Linked DNA regions of Saccharomyces cerevisiae S288C. The protein of the gene in region 2 interacts with the protein of the main gene of each other region in a biochemical or structural test. Each region holds a gene or a part of one and is shown on either strand. Other genes may lie near its edges.

Region 1 (3,756 bases), on a different chromosome or scaffold from region 2:
AGTTACTATCATATACCGAAGATCGAGTGTTGTTGCTAGTAAGAGTACTTTCATTTCTATTTTCGTTGTTTTCTTTTCTATTCATGTAATTTAAATCAAATATCAAGCCTCCCTGATTACCACTGATCTTCTTTAATAATCTTTCATTGGTTTCACTTGTTGGGTCAAAATCAAATTCGTCTCTCAAGTATTCTATCAGGAGTAAATATGGAACTTTTTCTGCAGAGTTCAAAACTTGTGCCTCATTAGCAGTAATGGTCACTAATTTATGTAACTTTCCTTTTTTATTTGGAGGCAATAAAGTGGGGATATCTACTTCCGCTGGTAGGTCCCTGTTTAATAGAAACAACTCGGCTCGTAAGGCACTCAATCTAGCTTCTGTCGGTACTCGAGCTAGCCTTTGAGATATTGTTTCTAGCGCAATGGCAAATTGTGTCTCGCAACGAAAATAATTTGCTTTTAACATTTTTATTTTTGAAGTGGTCGATAATTGCGACAAGTCAATTTCTTGACTCAAAGAAGAATTCGCTTTTTTACTGTTTTTGAATGCCTGGCGCGAAAGGGGTTGGGAATTGGTCCTGTTTAACTTAGGTGTCCCTTCTAAAGAAGCAGATGAAGCAGAAGAAGTCCTTGGTTGAATATTATGCAGATCTGGCATAGAACTGGTGAAGTGATCAGAGTTTAAAGCGTCCGCGTCCTCCTCCGTTTCACCACCAGTTTCATCTTCATTGTTACCAATCTCATTATTTTCATCATTACGTCCCTTTGGAGAAATATAATCACCTTTATTTCCATCGAGAGCCTTTGCGGTATTTGAAATGCTTCCGTCCCTGTTTATATTTTTGCCATCATATGTCCTATGAACGTATGAATTATCCAAATACTTAGGTTTACGTTTTGGGAGTTTGATTGAAGATGAGATTCTTTCTTCAAAGACCTGGTTACCTATATCATCCACAATGTCGAAATCCAATTTTACCTCACTATGTCTGGATTTCCTGAAGGATGCATCTTCTTTAGTTTTTATTGGATCTATTAAATCTATTGGAGAAGTCGGAGTTGAACTGCGATTTGAGCTAACTCTTTTGGATCTGGAAGTTTTCTTGTTTAGTAGGGTATTTTTCAAGGTCATGTTCTTGGTAAAATCTTTCATTGCACTTCTAGCCAACTTAAAAACGAAAGCTTTTTGTCTTCTACCTTGAGATTCCACTAATGGTTTGGTCACTTCGCTTAATTGGGGGAATGCTATAGCCGACATTATCATAGAGGAAAGAACTAAGGCCGGTGCAACGTTTTCATGTATTTTAACATTTTTATCGCTACCTGAACTTGTGTTAAAGAGATTGGTTTGTAAGTTGTTTAAGACTCTTCTAGCCACTTGGAAGCCATAAGAAGCGGGGTCAGTAGATAAATCCGTTAGTAACGCTTGTAACTGCCAAAACGTCAGTAGTGCAAAATGAGGGTTTTCCGCCCTCAACCTTAATAGTAAATCTTCTAAAGCCATTGATTCTGTCTCCATGGTGACGAGGACCTGTACTAGTTGGGGAATATAGAACTGTAGTTCGCTGTGAGGAAATGTGGCCAATTTCTGACATAAATAGTAATGTATACCAATATTTTCGGAGTGTTTGCACAGTAACTCCACACAATTGTGAAGGGTGAATTCACTAGAGTTGATCAGTTTCAGTAATTGTTCATTTTTTTTTAGTTCAATAGTATCATCAAAGCTTTTCTTTGAACTGGATGCTTTATGCATAGTGAAGAGAACGAATGCTTAATGAAAACGAACGCTCGCAATGAAGAAAAATGATAAGCTAATTGAAAATTTCTAGCAGGGTCCAGGGATCTTCTTAATATAGAAGTTGGGCCTAAAAAATGAAGGGTCTTCAGTATAAGATCTTGTACTTTTAGTTTTTCTCTAACGAATTTTTTGGTAGGGTTCTTTTGTTTCAGTGCAATAACACGAAAATGACAACAGTTGAACATATCGTGAATAATGACCCTGTTATACACGCTATCAAGTACGTAAAGGATAATATGGAAAATTTATTATAGATTTGAGTACTATCGCTGGCCGAAGGTGACAATGGCCTTATGATGTAACATACTATGAATAGTGAATAATAAGTGGTGATATTATACATAAAGTTTGGGGCAATCCCTCAAAATCTCTACAGGCTATTTTGATTAATGAAACGTCTATTTTTTTATTTTTTTCTATTTTGAAGGCATGCAAGAGGTTCTGTGACTATGCAACAGCAGCCCAGAATTTCTCCCATAAATTCTTAGGCTCGTCGTCTTCCCAAATAATTGCTTCGATTTCTCTTCTGTCGGAATCGATGTCAATATCTTCTAGCTTCCAAATAAATCTGCATTTGTAGTATATCTGGCAACCAATGAACACAACGGCTAAAAGAATCAAGGAGATGTAAGATGTGAAAAACTCAGAAACTTTGAACGGACAGAACGCTTGGAACCCTTGGATGAATATGATGACGGTGACAAAAAAGGCTGCGTAGTAGGCACCATAAGGCATCAATTTGGCCTTGAAGGGCAGATCATCACGAGAAATACCACGGTGCTTTAAAGCTTGCATGAACCTAATATGTGCCAAAGAGATGAATAACCAGGCGCATAACCCAGCCAAAGTGGAAATGTTGATCAACCAGTTAAATGCAGTGTTTGCATTGTTATTGACAACCAGGAATGCCAAAAGACCCAATGCAGCAGTGCAAACAACACCGAGATATGGAACACCCTGTCTGGTGACGTATCCAAATTGCTTTGGTGCGTTACCAGTCCTAGCTAAAGAGTAAAGAACACGGGAACCAACGTAAACATTCGAATTAGCGGCAGATACAACAGTAATCAACACCACGGCGTTGAAAATATCTGGAAGAGCATAAGTACCAGCGTTTTGAATGGAAATAACGAAGGGTGATGATGCAATAACAGCAGAACTAGCAGATAAACGGGAATCGTTGTATGGAACCAGTAGACCAATAAAGAACAAAGACATAATATAGAATAGTACGATTCTAAAGACGACTTTATTGATAGCTCTTGGAACGGTCTTTCTTGGGTTAGCCGCTTCACCAGCGGTGATCCCAACCAGTTCAGTACCTTGGTACGTAAATGCAGCATTAATCAAGGAGGAGACCCATCCGAGAAAACGGCCTTCACTTTTATCACTGGAGATGATGCCTGGCCCCCAGGCTCCTGGATTTCTCCAGTACCTGAAACCGATAGGGCCCTGGTGGGATCCACCGCAGACAATAATCAAAGCATATATCAAGTAACCCATAATGGCTAAAACTTTAACAGAGGCCACCCAGAACTCAAATTCACCATAAACTTTGACAGGGAAAAAATTCATCAAAGTAATAATTACCCAGAATATCGCAATCCAGGCCGCTAATGGAACTTTATCTGTCCAGTATTCAATAACTTGGCCAATGACAGAAACCTCCACAGCATAAGTAATAGCCCAATTGAACCAGTACATGTAGCCGTTAGAAACACCGAATGCAGGTGATAAGAACCTCTTCGAAAAGACAGTGATAGATGATGTCACGGGGATAAACGTAGCCATCTCACCAAGTGACTGGGTAACGAAGTAGACAATGGTGCCCATGAAAATGTAAGCAATCAGGGACCCCACAGGGCCAGCATTACTCAAGGGAGTGGAGATACCAACGAAAAGACCAGTACCGATTGTACCACCTAGTGCAATCATACCAATGTGTCTTTGCTTCA
Region 2 (3,756 bases):
TTTGAAGGGTTAGCTGGCGCATTTTCAATTGTACCTTCTTGAGAGATACCATCTTTAGCGTTGCCAATCATAAAGTTACTCGATTGGGGTTGCAATTTCAAAGACATTGACTTAGGGACTGCTAATAAGAACACTAAGTTGGAGATCGGTGACGAACTTAAGTTTGTAAAGAACGATTTTATCCTTATAACTGAGTTTGACTCCCTAGATATTTCGAACTCAATCTTCAAGTTAGGAGACTGATTGACTAGGGTTCTTGCGGGCGCAGTAGTAGTACCTGTTGTTGGATTAAATCCCATCAAAAGATCGAACCCACTACTGTTTACTGCTTGGGAATTAGTTGGCGATTGAGGAGTTGAAAGTCCCAAAAGATCTAAAGTGTTGTTCGAGTTGTTAGTAGTAGTAACTGGTGGTGCGGGTTGAGAGGACCCCAACACGATATCGCCTCCCAGACCAAAGGATGCTTGGTTAGCGGTTGAAGGGTTCGAAATAGATAAATCGGTCAAATCGCCCAATAAGTCATTGACAGATGTTTCCGCTGCTGCTGGTGTACCCGTGCCGTTGGTATTGTTGTTGCCTTGAGAGGGCGCTTCGTCCAAATCATTGAAATCGATTAAGTTGATTTCATTCGTTAAAGCACCAGAAGATTGTTGTAACGGAGCAGAAACATGACTTGGATGTATCTGCGAAGCAGCGTTGGAGTCACCGTTTTTCAATAAGTTGAATTTTTCCAATAGTTGATTAACTGTATCATTAAACTTCAATAGATCCTGCACTAACGCATCGTCTTCCTGTTCTTCCTCAATGATCTTTTGAAATTTTGGTTGAGCTACCTTTAATGCACTGTGAAGTTCTTGTGTAGTTTCGTTATCCCAGTTTTGTGAGTCAGGTGATTCCAGCATTTCATTCAGCAAATCGGCTTTACGCTTCAATTTGTTCAATTCACTGGAAATAGCCTGTTTAGCTTGAACGGCATTGTCTTCTTTGAACCCTGCCATGATTTTCATTAATTTGTTAGCTTCCCTCAAATCTTCAGGTTTACCACGCCTGATCAATTCTTCGAGTTTTGCAGCTTGAGCAATTTCCTGCTCCTTTTGAATTTCACTAGCGGTCTTCAATTGATTACTAGGCTTCAAAACTGCTAGGTCGGATTCACTGATTTTGGGGAATGCATAACCCTTATATTTCAACAAACGGTGCATGTCTCTAATATAACCCATATCATTCTTGTAGCTTGAGTGTTTACAAATTGTTTGATACCATTCTTCAATAGCAGTTAAAATCAATCTCTGAATCTTAGAATAACGTAATGGTGGGTGACCTGGAAATCTCTTGACCAGTTCATTCAAAAATTCCTTTCTAGAAATTTGCAAGTGGAATGGGTATCCACAATTCTTGACAAGCACGTCTAATAGAGATAACGCGAATATTGCCACGTGCGATTCTCTATTGTTGATCAGTTTAGCAAGTGCAATGGCAGCATCCCTAGGGGCAGCGCCCTGTTTTTCATTAATGTAGTCAGCAATGTCAAGATTCAACGCCAAGTCTGGTTCAGCAAGTGACATTCTGCAAGCTCTTTGAATCTTCCTCAAAAGAGGATTGCCCAAGGCTTGAGGTTTCCTGACGGGCAACTCAGACAAATATATGCTATGTGAGTGCGGATGGGACATGATGCAGTATCACGATTAGCAATTCAGCTATGAGTTATGTTGCTCTTTGTTTTGTTTATGGAAATTGTCCTATGGTAAGTCTCTTTTTTTTGCAATCGTGATTACAGAAAAAAAACAGGGCGCTGGAAAAGTGAAGAATCCGAAATTTTTTTCGAAATCACCATTGTTTGTTTTGAGTAGATCAAAGTCTTGAAAGGTGCAGCAAGATATAGGATCTTGACCTGAAGAGTATTGATAACGAACTACATCACATATTGTATCAAATAATGAGTGCTGCCACTGCGACTGCTGCCCCTGTTCCTCCTCCTGTAGGGATATCCAATCTTCCCAACCAGCGTTATAAAATTGTTAATGAAGAAGGTGGTACATTCACCGTGATGTTATGTGGTGAGAGCGGATTGGGTAAAACTACATTTATTAATACCTTATTTCAGACTGTCTTGAAAAGGGCAGATGGTCAGCAACACCGCCAAGAACCCATCAGAAAGACTGTAGAAATCGACATCACAAGAGCTTTGCTGGAAGAGAAGCATTTCGAATTACGCGTTAATGTCATCGACACCCCAGGTTTTGGAGATAACGTGAATAACAACAAAGCCTGGCAACCATTGGTGGATTTTATTGATGATCAACACGATTCTTATATGCGTCAAGAGCAGCAACCGTACCGTACTAAGAAATTTGACTTGAGAGTTCATGCCGTTCTGTACTTCATCAGGCCCACTGGACATGGTTTAAAGCCAATTGACATTGAGACTATGAAGAGATTGTCAACCAGAGCCAATCTGATTCCAGTTATTGCGAAAGCTGATACATTGACTGCCCAAGAATTACAACAGTTCAAGTCCAGAATCAGGCAAGTAATAGAAGCTCAAGAAATTCGTATTTTCACGCCTCCATTAGACGCTGATTCTAAGGAAGATGCCAAAAGTGGCAGTAATCCAGATTCTGCCGCTGTTGAACATGCAAGACAGTTGATAGAAGCAATGCCATTTGCCATAGTAGGGTCTGAAAAAAAATTTGACAATGGGCAAGGCACTCAGGTAGTTGCAAGGAAGTATCCTTGGGGACTTGTGGAAATCGAAAACGATTCTCATTGTGATTTCCGTAAGCTCAGAGCCCTGTTACTGAGGACTTATCTATTAGATTTGATTTCTACCACCCAAGAAATGCATTACGAAACATACAGAAGATTAAGACTTGAGGGTCACGAGAACACCGGGGAGGGGAATGAAGATTTCACTCTTCCAGCAATTGCACCAGCAAGGAAATTGTCACACAATCCTAGATACAAAGAAGAAGAAAATGCATTGAAGAAGTATTTCACTGACCAAGTCAAAGCTGAGGAGCAAAGATTTAGACAATGGGAGCAAAACATTGTTAACGAAAGAATCAGACTGAACGGTGACTTGGAAGAAATTCAAGGAAAGGTAAAAAAACTAGAAGAGCAGGTCAAAAGCTTGCAAGTAAAAAAATCCCATTTAAAATGATGATTAATTAATGTCTTCCTCTTTGTCTCGTCAATTTCAACGCCTATCTCTTTGTCTCTTCTTTTGTCGCAGCAATACGCACATATATATATGTATCTTATAAAAATATTTCAAATATATCTCAAAAAACATAGAATACGTAACACAATCGAACAGTAAAAACAAAAATAAACCGGTTTTTTCACGTTACTCTTGGGCACTTAGGTACCGTTCTGCATCCAAAGCAGCAATGCATCCGGAACCAGCAGAAGTAACTGCTTGTCTATACCTAGAGTCCTGAACGTCACCTGCAGCAAAAAAACCTGGCACAGAAGTCAGAGACGATCCAGGCACAGTTTTTATATACCCCGTCTCTTCTTCATCTACTTGTCCTTTAACTATATCTGTGGCAGGGCTGTGACCTATTGCGTAAAATAGTCCATTTACTTCTAAATCGTTCTCCACATTACTTTTAGTATTCTTAATTCTCAACATATTCAATAACTTACCATCACCCTTAGCTTCTAATGCAACTGTGTTGAACAAAACAATGATGTTTGGATTTTTCTCAATTCGTCTCTGCATTATTACAGATGCACGAAAATGATCCTTTCTTA

Evidence for each region. The genes of interacting proteins can lie anywhere in the genome.
Region 1: the proteins of GGA2 (region 2) and PIK1 form a complex in vitro, tested with the Saccharomyces cerevisiae proteins (2 studies listed by BioGRID).

The regions. Positions count from the first base shown.
Region 1 is NC_001146.8:138,878-142,633, reverse strand, and holds the start of PIK1 (1-phosphatidylinositol 4-kinase), read right to left. Parts: upstream 1,757-3,756; coding exon 1-1,756. Other genes in the region: LYP1 (lysine permease), read right to left, coding at 2,249-3,756. UniProt on the Saccharomyces cerevisiae protein: Acts on phosphatidylinositol (PI) in the first committed step in the production of the second messenger inositol 1,4,5,-trisphosphate. PIK1 is part of a nuclear phosphoinositide cycle and could control cytokinesis through the actin cytoskeleton.
Region 2 is NC_001140.6:326,217-329,972, reverse strand, and holds the start of GGA2 (phosphatidylinositol 4-phosphate-binding protein), read right to left. Parts: upstream 1,671-3,756; coding exon 1-1,670. Other genes in the region: septin CDC12, read left to right, coding at 1,937-3,160; thioredoxin-disulfide reductase TRR2, read right to left, coding at 3,347-3,756. UniProt on the Saccharomyces cerevisiae protein: May play a role in the regulation of membrane traffic through the trans-Golgi network.